Coturnix japonica: one gene and its partner. The protein of the gene in region 2 purifies or fractionates together with the protein of the main gene of each other region. This does not show direct contact. Links are inferred from orthologs where the notes say so. Each region holds a gene or a part of one and is shown on either strand. Other genes may lie near its edges.

What was found. The genes of interacting proteins can lie anywhere in the genome.
Region 1: the proteins of TGFBR2 (region 2) and SMURF2 purify together in Homo sapiens (affinity purification with western blotting; 3 studies listed by BioGRID). This does not show direct contact. The link is inferred for Coturnix japonica from reciprocal best matches to the Homo sapiens genes TGFBR2 and SMURF2.

What each region holds. Positions count from the first base shown.
Region 1 is NC_029533.1:7,225,755-7,229,272, forward strand, and holds part of SMURF2 (E3 ubiquitin-protein ligase SMURF2), read left to right. Parts: intron 1-1,375; coding exon 1,376-1,586; intron 1,587-2,384; coding exon 2,385-2,488; intron 2,489-2,998; coding exon 2,999-3,113; intron 3,114-3,518. UniProt on the Homo sapiens protein: E3 ubiquitin-protein ligase which accepts ubiquitin from an E2 ubiquitin-conjugating enzyme in the form of a thioester and then directly transfers the ubiquitin to targeted substrates.
Region 2 is NC_029517.1:36,667,162-36,671,118, forward strand, and holds the start of TGFBR2 (TGF-beta receptor type-2), read left to right. Parts: upstream 1-1,147; 5' UTR 1,148-1,288; coding exon 1,289-1,370; intron 1,371-3,957. UniProt on the Homo sapiens protein: Transmembrane serine/threonine kinase forming with the TGF-beta type I serine/threonine kinase receptor, TGFBR1, the non-promiscuous receptor for the TGF-beta cytokines TGFB1, TGFB2 and TGFB3.

The sequences.
Region 1 (3,518 bases), on a different chromosome or scaffold from region 2:
GATTTCCAGTGTATTGCATCCTAAGGCATCATGACAGAATTGGGTTGCTGTGCATTATTTTCTTCTTATAGCCCAGATGTAAAATGATAATATTATTAAGAATAAGCTTTCAGCTGTTGCTGAGCTGATCCAAATGTGTGTCACTGCAGGGGCTTCTAGATGGTAGGTTTGTAAGACATAGGATATAGATGATCCCTGTAGACTGGAGTAAATTTCACTTGAATGTGGTTTGTGCAAATTAACTTTAAATAAAAGGTTTGAAAATAACCGAATGGCTGTCAGAACCACAGGGCAAACTGGGAACACTCCCACTTCTTTTTTTAACTGCCAAAAATGAATGCTGTGGTGGTGAAAGCCCGGTGGAAATGAAGTTTGGTTGGTCAGGGGAGCTTTCTCAGTAGACTTTGTTTCAAAACAGGCAATGGACTGAAATCTTAAGAGGTATTGAAGTTGTGTGAGGTTCTGTCTCATATGTTTGGTTTTGTTGTTGGAAAAAAATAAATTGACGTTGCATTGGAAAAAAATATATATCTAAATTGTGACCTTTCCTATTTATCCAGTCAGTTTGGGGCATTATCACATGTCCTGCACAGAGGCTTTTCAAGTTTTAGGGGAAATACAGCTTTTGTCCTCTTGTTTGGAAGTGCCACACTAAAAAGCTAAGCCATGCAAAAAGGCCTACTTGAGAAGTGACATGAGAAAGGACATCTCTGCTCAAAACTGACTTTGTCCAGTAAGAAGTCAGATTTACAAAATCTCTTAGAATTGCTAGTAAAAATACTTGCTTATCTGTGCCAGTTAGTTACATGTGAGCTCCCCACATTCCTGTGGTCCAGACTAGGCCAGGTACAAGGGACAAGGTCCTTGCCAAGCTGCCAGTACAAACATCTTTTTGTAAGCTTACTCTTTTTCATGCAAGCCATTTAAAACAGACTATGGTATTGAGTGTAGATTAGAGGCATAGTGTTTGGCTGATCCTTGAATTTTAAATTGGAGGAAGGCAAAACACGCAAAGGAAATATGGAAATGGTATCTGAGAAATTCAGTGTCAGCAGCTTAGTAGTAAAACTGTATGGTTAATACCTTATTATATCGTGCTGTAACCTTTTACATACTTTGTAGAGTACTACTAATAGAAATAACCAACTCTAAAAACAACTGATAGTTGCCAAGAAAGACAGAAGCATATGTCTTTAGTCAGGATAAAATCTCTCTGAATTTACTTTTTTCTAGGCCTGAATGTTGTTAGTGTAATCACAGTAATCATAGTAAATCGAAAGTACGTCAGTTACTAAGACTTAACCTTTAAGAAACACATGAAGAAAACAGGAGACGTATGACTTGAATATCTGCAAACAGCTGTGTTTGTTTCTAGCCGCCAGAATCAACTTAAAGATCAGCAGCACCAGCAGCAGCAGCAGGTAGTGTCCCTGTGTCAGCTTCCAGATGAGGCAGAATGTCTGACTGTGCCAAGGTACAAACGAGACCTGGTGCAGAAACTCAAGATCCTGAGGCAAGAGCTGTCACAGCAGCAACCTCAAGCTGGCCACTGTCGTATTGAGGTCTCCAGGGAAGAGATTTTTGAGGTAATTTGAGATCTTGACCCATTTGTTAACACTGAGGGAAGGGGAGGAGGGTTATCCATAACTGTCTGAAGAAGTCATTCAGTTAGACAAAATGCTGAAGCCTGTTTGTCTCAAAAACTTTATCACCCATCCCACCCATCCCTGTTGTGTTTTTACTCCACCCACAAACATGATAGCCCCACTGCGTTGTCACCATTTTTCCAGCCAAGAAATATTTGTGTTGGTATTCCCAATGGAGACAGTCAAATCACTTAATAATAAACTGAAAAAGAAGGGGGAGAAATGCTGCTGTAAAGGAGTGGAAATTATTATATTCTTTTTCTGAAGCGTCCCAGGCATGCCTGCCTCTTCTCTTCTGCAAAAACAAAGATTGGGGGCATCATAAATAAAACCTTTGATTTAATTCCATTTATAAAATGAGCATTTGGTTTCTTTCTTTAGCATTCTTTTTATATTGTATTGATGAAGTCTTACTGATAGAGCAATAATTCCATAGATTTACTGGGATGGCGGTGGTGCTGATGATGCTTAAGCATCTTAAGATGCTTTGTGAAGGTTTGCATATCTTCTGGTCAGTAGAAGTACCACTGTTGGCTTTTCACACTATTTTTTACTTGACAAGCATTATCACATTTATAGAAAGCTATGTAACAGTTTGTGATTGGAGAAACAGCAGTCTCTAGGAAAACAACATCCCCTTTGGGCTTAGATTCTGAGACTCCCTTTGTTTCTAATAAGCAGTAGTAGCTTCTTGTCTCTAAATAGCAGTTAATAAAAGAATGTGTTGTGTATTTACAGGAATCTTACAGGCAAGTCATGAAGATGAGGCCAAAAGATCTATGGAAACGATTAATGATAAAGTTCCGTGGGGAGGAAGGTCTTGATTATGGAGGTGTTGCCAGGTAAACAGTGTGTCCTCCATCCCTTTCCTCAGCCCCACCAGCTGCACCACTTTGATTCCTAAACCAAACTGACAACGACTCTTTTTCTTTTAAAATTCTGTGGTTCTATTTGTTCTAGTAACGCTGTATGTCAGAAGAGTGTATATATCTCAGATAGTCTTTTCAAGGAAAAAAAGCAAGGAGAATTTATTGTAAATAAATCAAAATGCCTGTTACCAAAGGTGTCTCTGATGCAACCTGTATCAATTGGAAAAGCTTGGGTATTTGGGAGTGTATGTACACCACTGAACAGTCAACTTGGTGACAGAATCATAATCAGTGACTCTTGGAAAGCAACTTGAAGGAAAATCCTGGCAGCTGACAGGTGCTGTGCATTACTGAACCAGTGAAAATAATTCTGCTTTCTACACGTGCATAGCTGTCCTTTGAAAAGATTGAAAAGATTCTCAATATGCAAATTAATTTATCTAAGGTTATGCAGTAAATTCTTTCTTCTTTCTTGTTCTTCAGGGAGTGGCTCTACCTGTTGTCACATGAAATGCTGAATCCATACTATGGGCTCTTCCAGTATTCCCGAGATGATATCTACACACTGCAAATCAACCCAGATTCTGCAGTTAACCCGGTATGACTGACAATAGGAGTTAAGTAAAATGATGCTTTTGTGACCCAGCAGTTAGGTACATGTGGAGAATAATGTTCTAGATTTAAGAATCTAGTTCTCACGTTAATATTGCTAGAAACTAAATGAATGAAATAACATAATTTGTTGTTAGTATGGATCAAAGAAACAAAGAAACATCTCAAATGATCTTAATTTTCTGTAAGATATTGTTTTATGTTTCCTTTGGGAGAAATGGAGTTTGTTTTGATTCTTAACAGTAAGACTCTGGACTTGAAGCAACGTACCCAGTGTGCTGTATATAAAAACAAACTAAAAAAAGATATCAAACAGCTCTGGTTATGTGTTGGGTGGTGGTGGTTTCCTTGTTGTTGTTAAGGTGTATTGAAATTTAATTAAACGTTCAGC
Region 2 (3,957 bases):
ATACACCCACAGAGGGCTCAGCCTTTTTTTTTCTGAAGTATGCAATTCTGTACCTCAAAACAGAGCTGTAATTGAGACAGAACTGGATCACCAACAACAGAGCAGACACTCTCAAATTATCACCATATGCATCAATTCACTTTTCCATCAATACCACTGAACTTGGAAAGGAAGGAAGGCTCTGGGCATCAAAAGCAGGTATCAAGACAATTGCTTGCTACCCAATGGCTGAATTTCTATTGGCACAAGGCTCGGGCTTTATTCAGCCTAAACATGAGAAGGGTCTGATGCTTCCTTCTCATTCCTAGAAGTGCAAGGTTGGCATCACAGTTGTGCTTCCACTCTGTGAATACCCTGCATGATTTATTCCTTTTGGAGAAATCTGTGTCAAAAACTCAGCAGAGATGGAATGAGGAATGGAGATGAATATCACCTGTGTCACACACATCAAATGGTGTGCATCTAGTCCATTTGGGACCAAAATGCAAATATGTATATTAAAAAGAGGCGGGTGACAAGTTGTCACGATCTGCTTCAGTATCTGCAAGCTGAATGCCAGGCAGGTCTGTGCGAACATTTCCTGTTATTGCCCTGACTTCAACCTCCCCTGCCGCCCCACTTCACTTCATCTGGGGTTTTCAGGCTTCTGCAGAAGGGAGCGCGGGCTGCAGCACCATCGCTAGGCACGGCATCGGGGATGCAGGGAGGACATCTGGGGAGCCGCCGGCCTCAAGCCGCGGGATTGCCGGACTCCGGGCGGCCCGAAGGCAGGACGGACTGACGGTGCTCTGGAGCCCGAATCGCGGCTCGGCGGCGTGGGCGGTGTTCGCATACGGTCCCCGTTCGGGAGGCGGGCGCAGAGAGCCCGGCTGCACGTCGGGGCTGGCCCCGCTGGCGGTGGGAGAGCCAGACCTGCGAGGGGCTGGCCTCTGGCAGATGATTGACACCCAACTGGGTGAGGTTTCGTGCTTTAAAAAAAAAAAAAAAAGGAAAAAAAAAAAAAAAAAGAAAGAAAAAAAAGAGAAGAAAGAAAGAAGGAAAAAGAGCCAGCGCAGAGTGGGGGGGTAGGGGGGGCGAGGTTAATGTGGAAGGGGGGGGAAGGAACTACTGTAAGAGTAAGAAAGTCCTGCCCAGCTGTTTGCGGAGTTTAAGATTTCCTGTTTCCCCTGCAGCGCCGAAGTGAAGTTTTCAGTGAGTCACCCGCAGCCCCGAGCAGCGCAGCCCGCGTCCCGCCAGCCCCGCCGCGGCCTCCCGCTGCCCGGCCCAGCCGCCCCGCTCCGGCTCCGCGATGCCTCCGCGCCTGCGGCCGCTGCTCCTGCGCGTATCTCTATGGGTCCTCGTGGGCTCTTCGAGCCCCGCGCTGCTCCGCGGTAAGTGCCGGGCCGGCCCCGGCGCCGCGCTCCTGCTTGACAGCTGCCGGGGCCGAAGGGCAAGCGCCCACCGCCGGGGAAGGAGGAGGATGGTGAGGAGGAAGGCTCAGTTGCTAAGAACGTTTTGAAGCTGCTGGAGCGGGGAGAGCGTTTGTTTGTCGCCCCCCTGGAAAGTGAAGACGGAGAGAGAGGCTTAGCGACAAAAAAAAAAAAATGAAGGGGGAAGGGGGCAGAAAAGTGAGAATTGAGCAGGAAACTCCGCGGGATCCTATTTTGCGGGAGCTGACTGCTGGCCCGGGGCAGCGTCCGCACCTGGAGCCGGGGATTGGGCCCGGGTGCTGCCCCAGGGGCGGATTTACAGAAAGAGAGATGCAGGGATGGAGAGGACTGTGGGTGCCACAGGGCCCGAGGCGTTGTTCTCCGAGCTGAGGCCCCTGCACGGGCACTGCTGGCAGCTGAGGGGTCGGTGTTAGGTGCCCGGGGGTTACGATACACGTGAGCCTGTGAGGTAATGCCTGTAGCAAGAGTCAGCTGTGGTTGTGGATAGCAGGAGTGGGGACAGTAGTCATTTCTGCAGCACTCGGTGTTTTAAAAGTGCTTATTAGATCCGCTTTTAATGGCACTTTGCATCCTTTACTCTGGCATTTCTTTATGAAGTCATCCGTAGTTAGGTTTTTAAGGCTGTGGCTTGCAGGATTCTTCATAGGGTACTGTGAAGTGTTTCAAGTGCTGCTGCAAGAACCAGGTCCCTGACCTGAAGAGCAACTTGTCCTACTCCTACCCATGCCAACCCACAGATGTGCAGCACTGTCTGTACCTATAGGATTAGGCCCTAACTCATTTTGCAGCACAGCTGACAAACCTTAAAAACAGAAACCACACTTGAATCAGTTTTGAAGTATTAAGTGCATTTTGAAGTGTTGTGTGATACCAGATTTCTGATTTCAGCCTTCAAGTGAGGTGTGCAGACACCTGAGCTTCTGCTAGCTTTGCTCTGAGCTCTCCAGTTATCTTCTGTGGTCCATTCATGGTCACTAAAACATAATAACGTAAACCAAATAGCTCTTGTTTAGTCACTGCCAGTGGCTGTGTACATTATGAATAACTTCATGCTTTGTTAATAATCCTGTCAAAGTCAACAGGTCTTACATTCCTGCAAAGTTACTCATGTAAGCGTAGGGCAGATGAAACTCGGTGGTGTCCCAGCACTCAGCCGTGTTATTGGTTTAAACTTGAGGTGTGCAGCTTCCTGTTGATTTTGATATGTATTTGTATTTCTCCTTTATATAAATCATACTTGGCTAAGGATTGCTTTTGTTTAGATACCAGCCCTAAATGTGTTGTGTGTTCCTATTCCTGCTATGCAAAGCTTTAAAAGTTCCGCTTTTGTTAGTCTCCTGTCATTGTGTTTTTTTAACTCACCCACTAGAGACTTTGATTTGTGGTCTATGAAACAGAGTTCACCTGTGATCAGATAATCTGTAGCTCCAAAACTTGTTGAAAATGACGTTTTAATAATGGTTGTAGGTTTCTGTTCGTGTAGCCAGCTGGTCAGAAAGTACAGGTGCTACTGGGGGCACAGAGATTGGAGTATTGGTTGTTAATTGGCATCAAAATGTGAAATATATCTGCTAGCTGTTTGAGGGAAACGAAACAGAAGAGCAACTGACTTTGTAATAATCAATAACTCAGTGAGGATGGGGCAGGAGAGATACCAGTCCCAGAAGGGTGCACTTCCCAGGTGTGCCTATTAACAGCCTGTTTCCTGGTGGTGAGCAGCTTAGTAGAGCCCCAGCTAAAACTTCATCTGAACATTCTTTGTAGCGAGATACTAGACAAGGGTGGCACATCCCCATAAGGGTTATGGAGAAAATGACAAATTCATGAGCAGATCCAATAGTGAGTGTTTGCTTTGAAAGAGTTGTACTAATGTTCTGTGCTAAACAAAAGCTATTGAAGCTTTTCCCAAAGAGTAGAATGTGAATTTGGGTTTGTTTTTTTAGTTTTTTGGGTGTTTGTTATGGAATGGTTATGAATGCTACATTGAGTGTTTAATCAGTAAATGGCTGTGCAAACCAGCAGTTGGTCATATAAGAAAACAGCACCTCTGTGTCCAAAAGGATGTGAATCTGTAATTTGTATTTGGGTTACATAAAGCCAAAATTTGTGTTTTGGAATAACCTGTGTGATAGTTGTTTATTTCTCTGTATCTGGCATAAAGTTTTGCCATTCATCCAGGTGCTGACTTGCATCACTGTCTCCTTATCTTGTAGAAGCCACGTGGTAGTCTGTTGGTTTAGTAGTAATAAAATAAAAACAAACGTAGAGTTTCAGGTAGTTGCATGAGTGAGTATGAGGAAAAACATGGCAGAACGTGTGTAGCATGATCGACTCTAAAGTGCATTCCTGTCCCTCATCAAAGCTCTGGCAAACTTCCAGTTATTTCAGAAGATAACTGGAAGAATACAGATATTACTGCAATTTCTTCTGAGGTATCTCTGAGTTCTGAGAACGGTGTATCTGAGATTTTGAAAATCGCTTCTATTTAATTGCTGTACAGAGCTCTTTAGCTCATACTTCTGTAGTA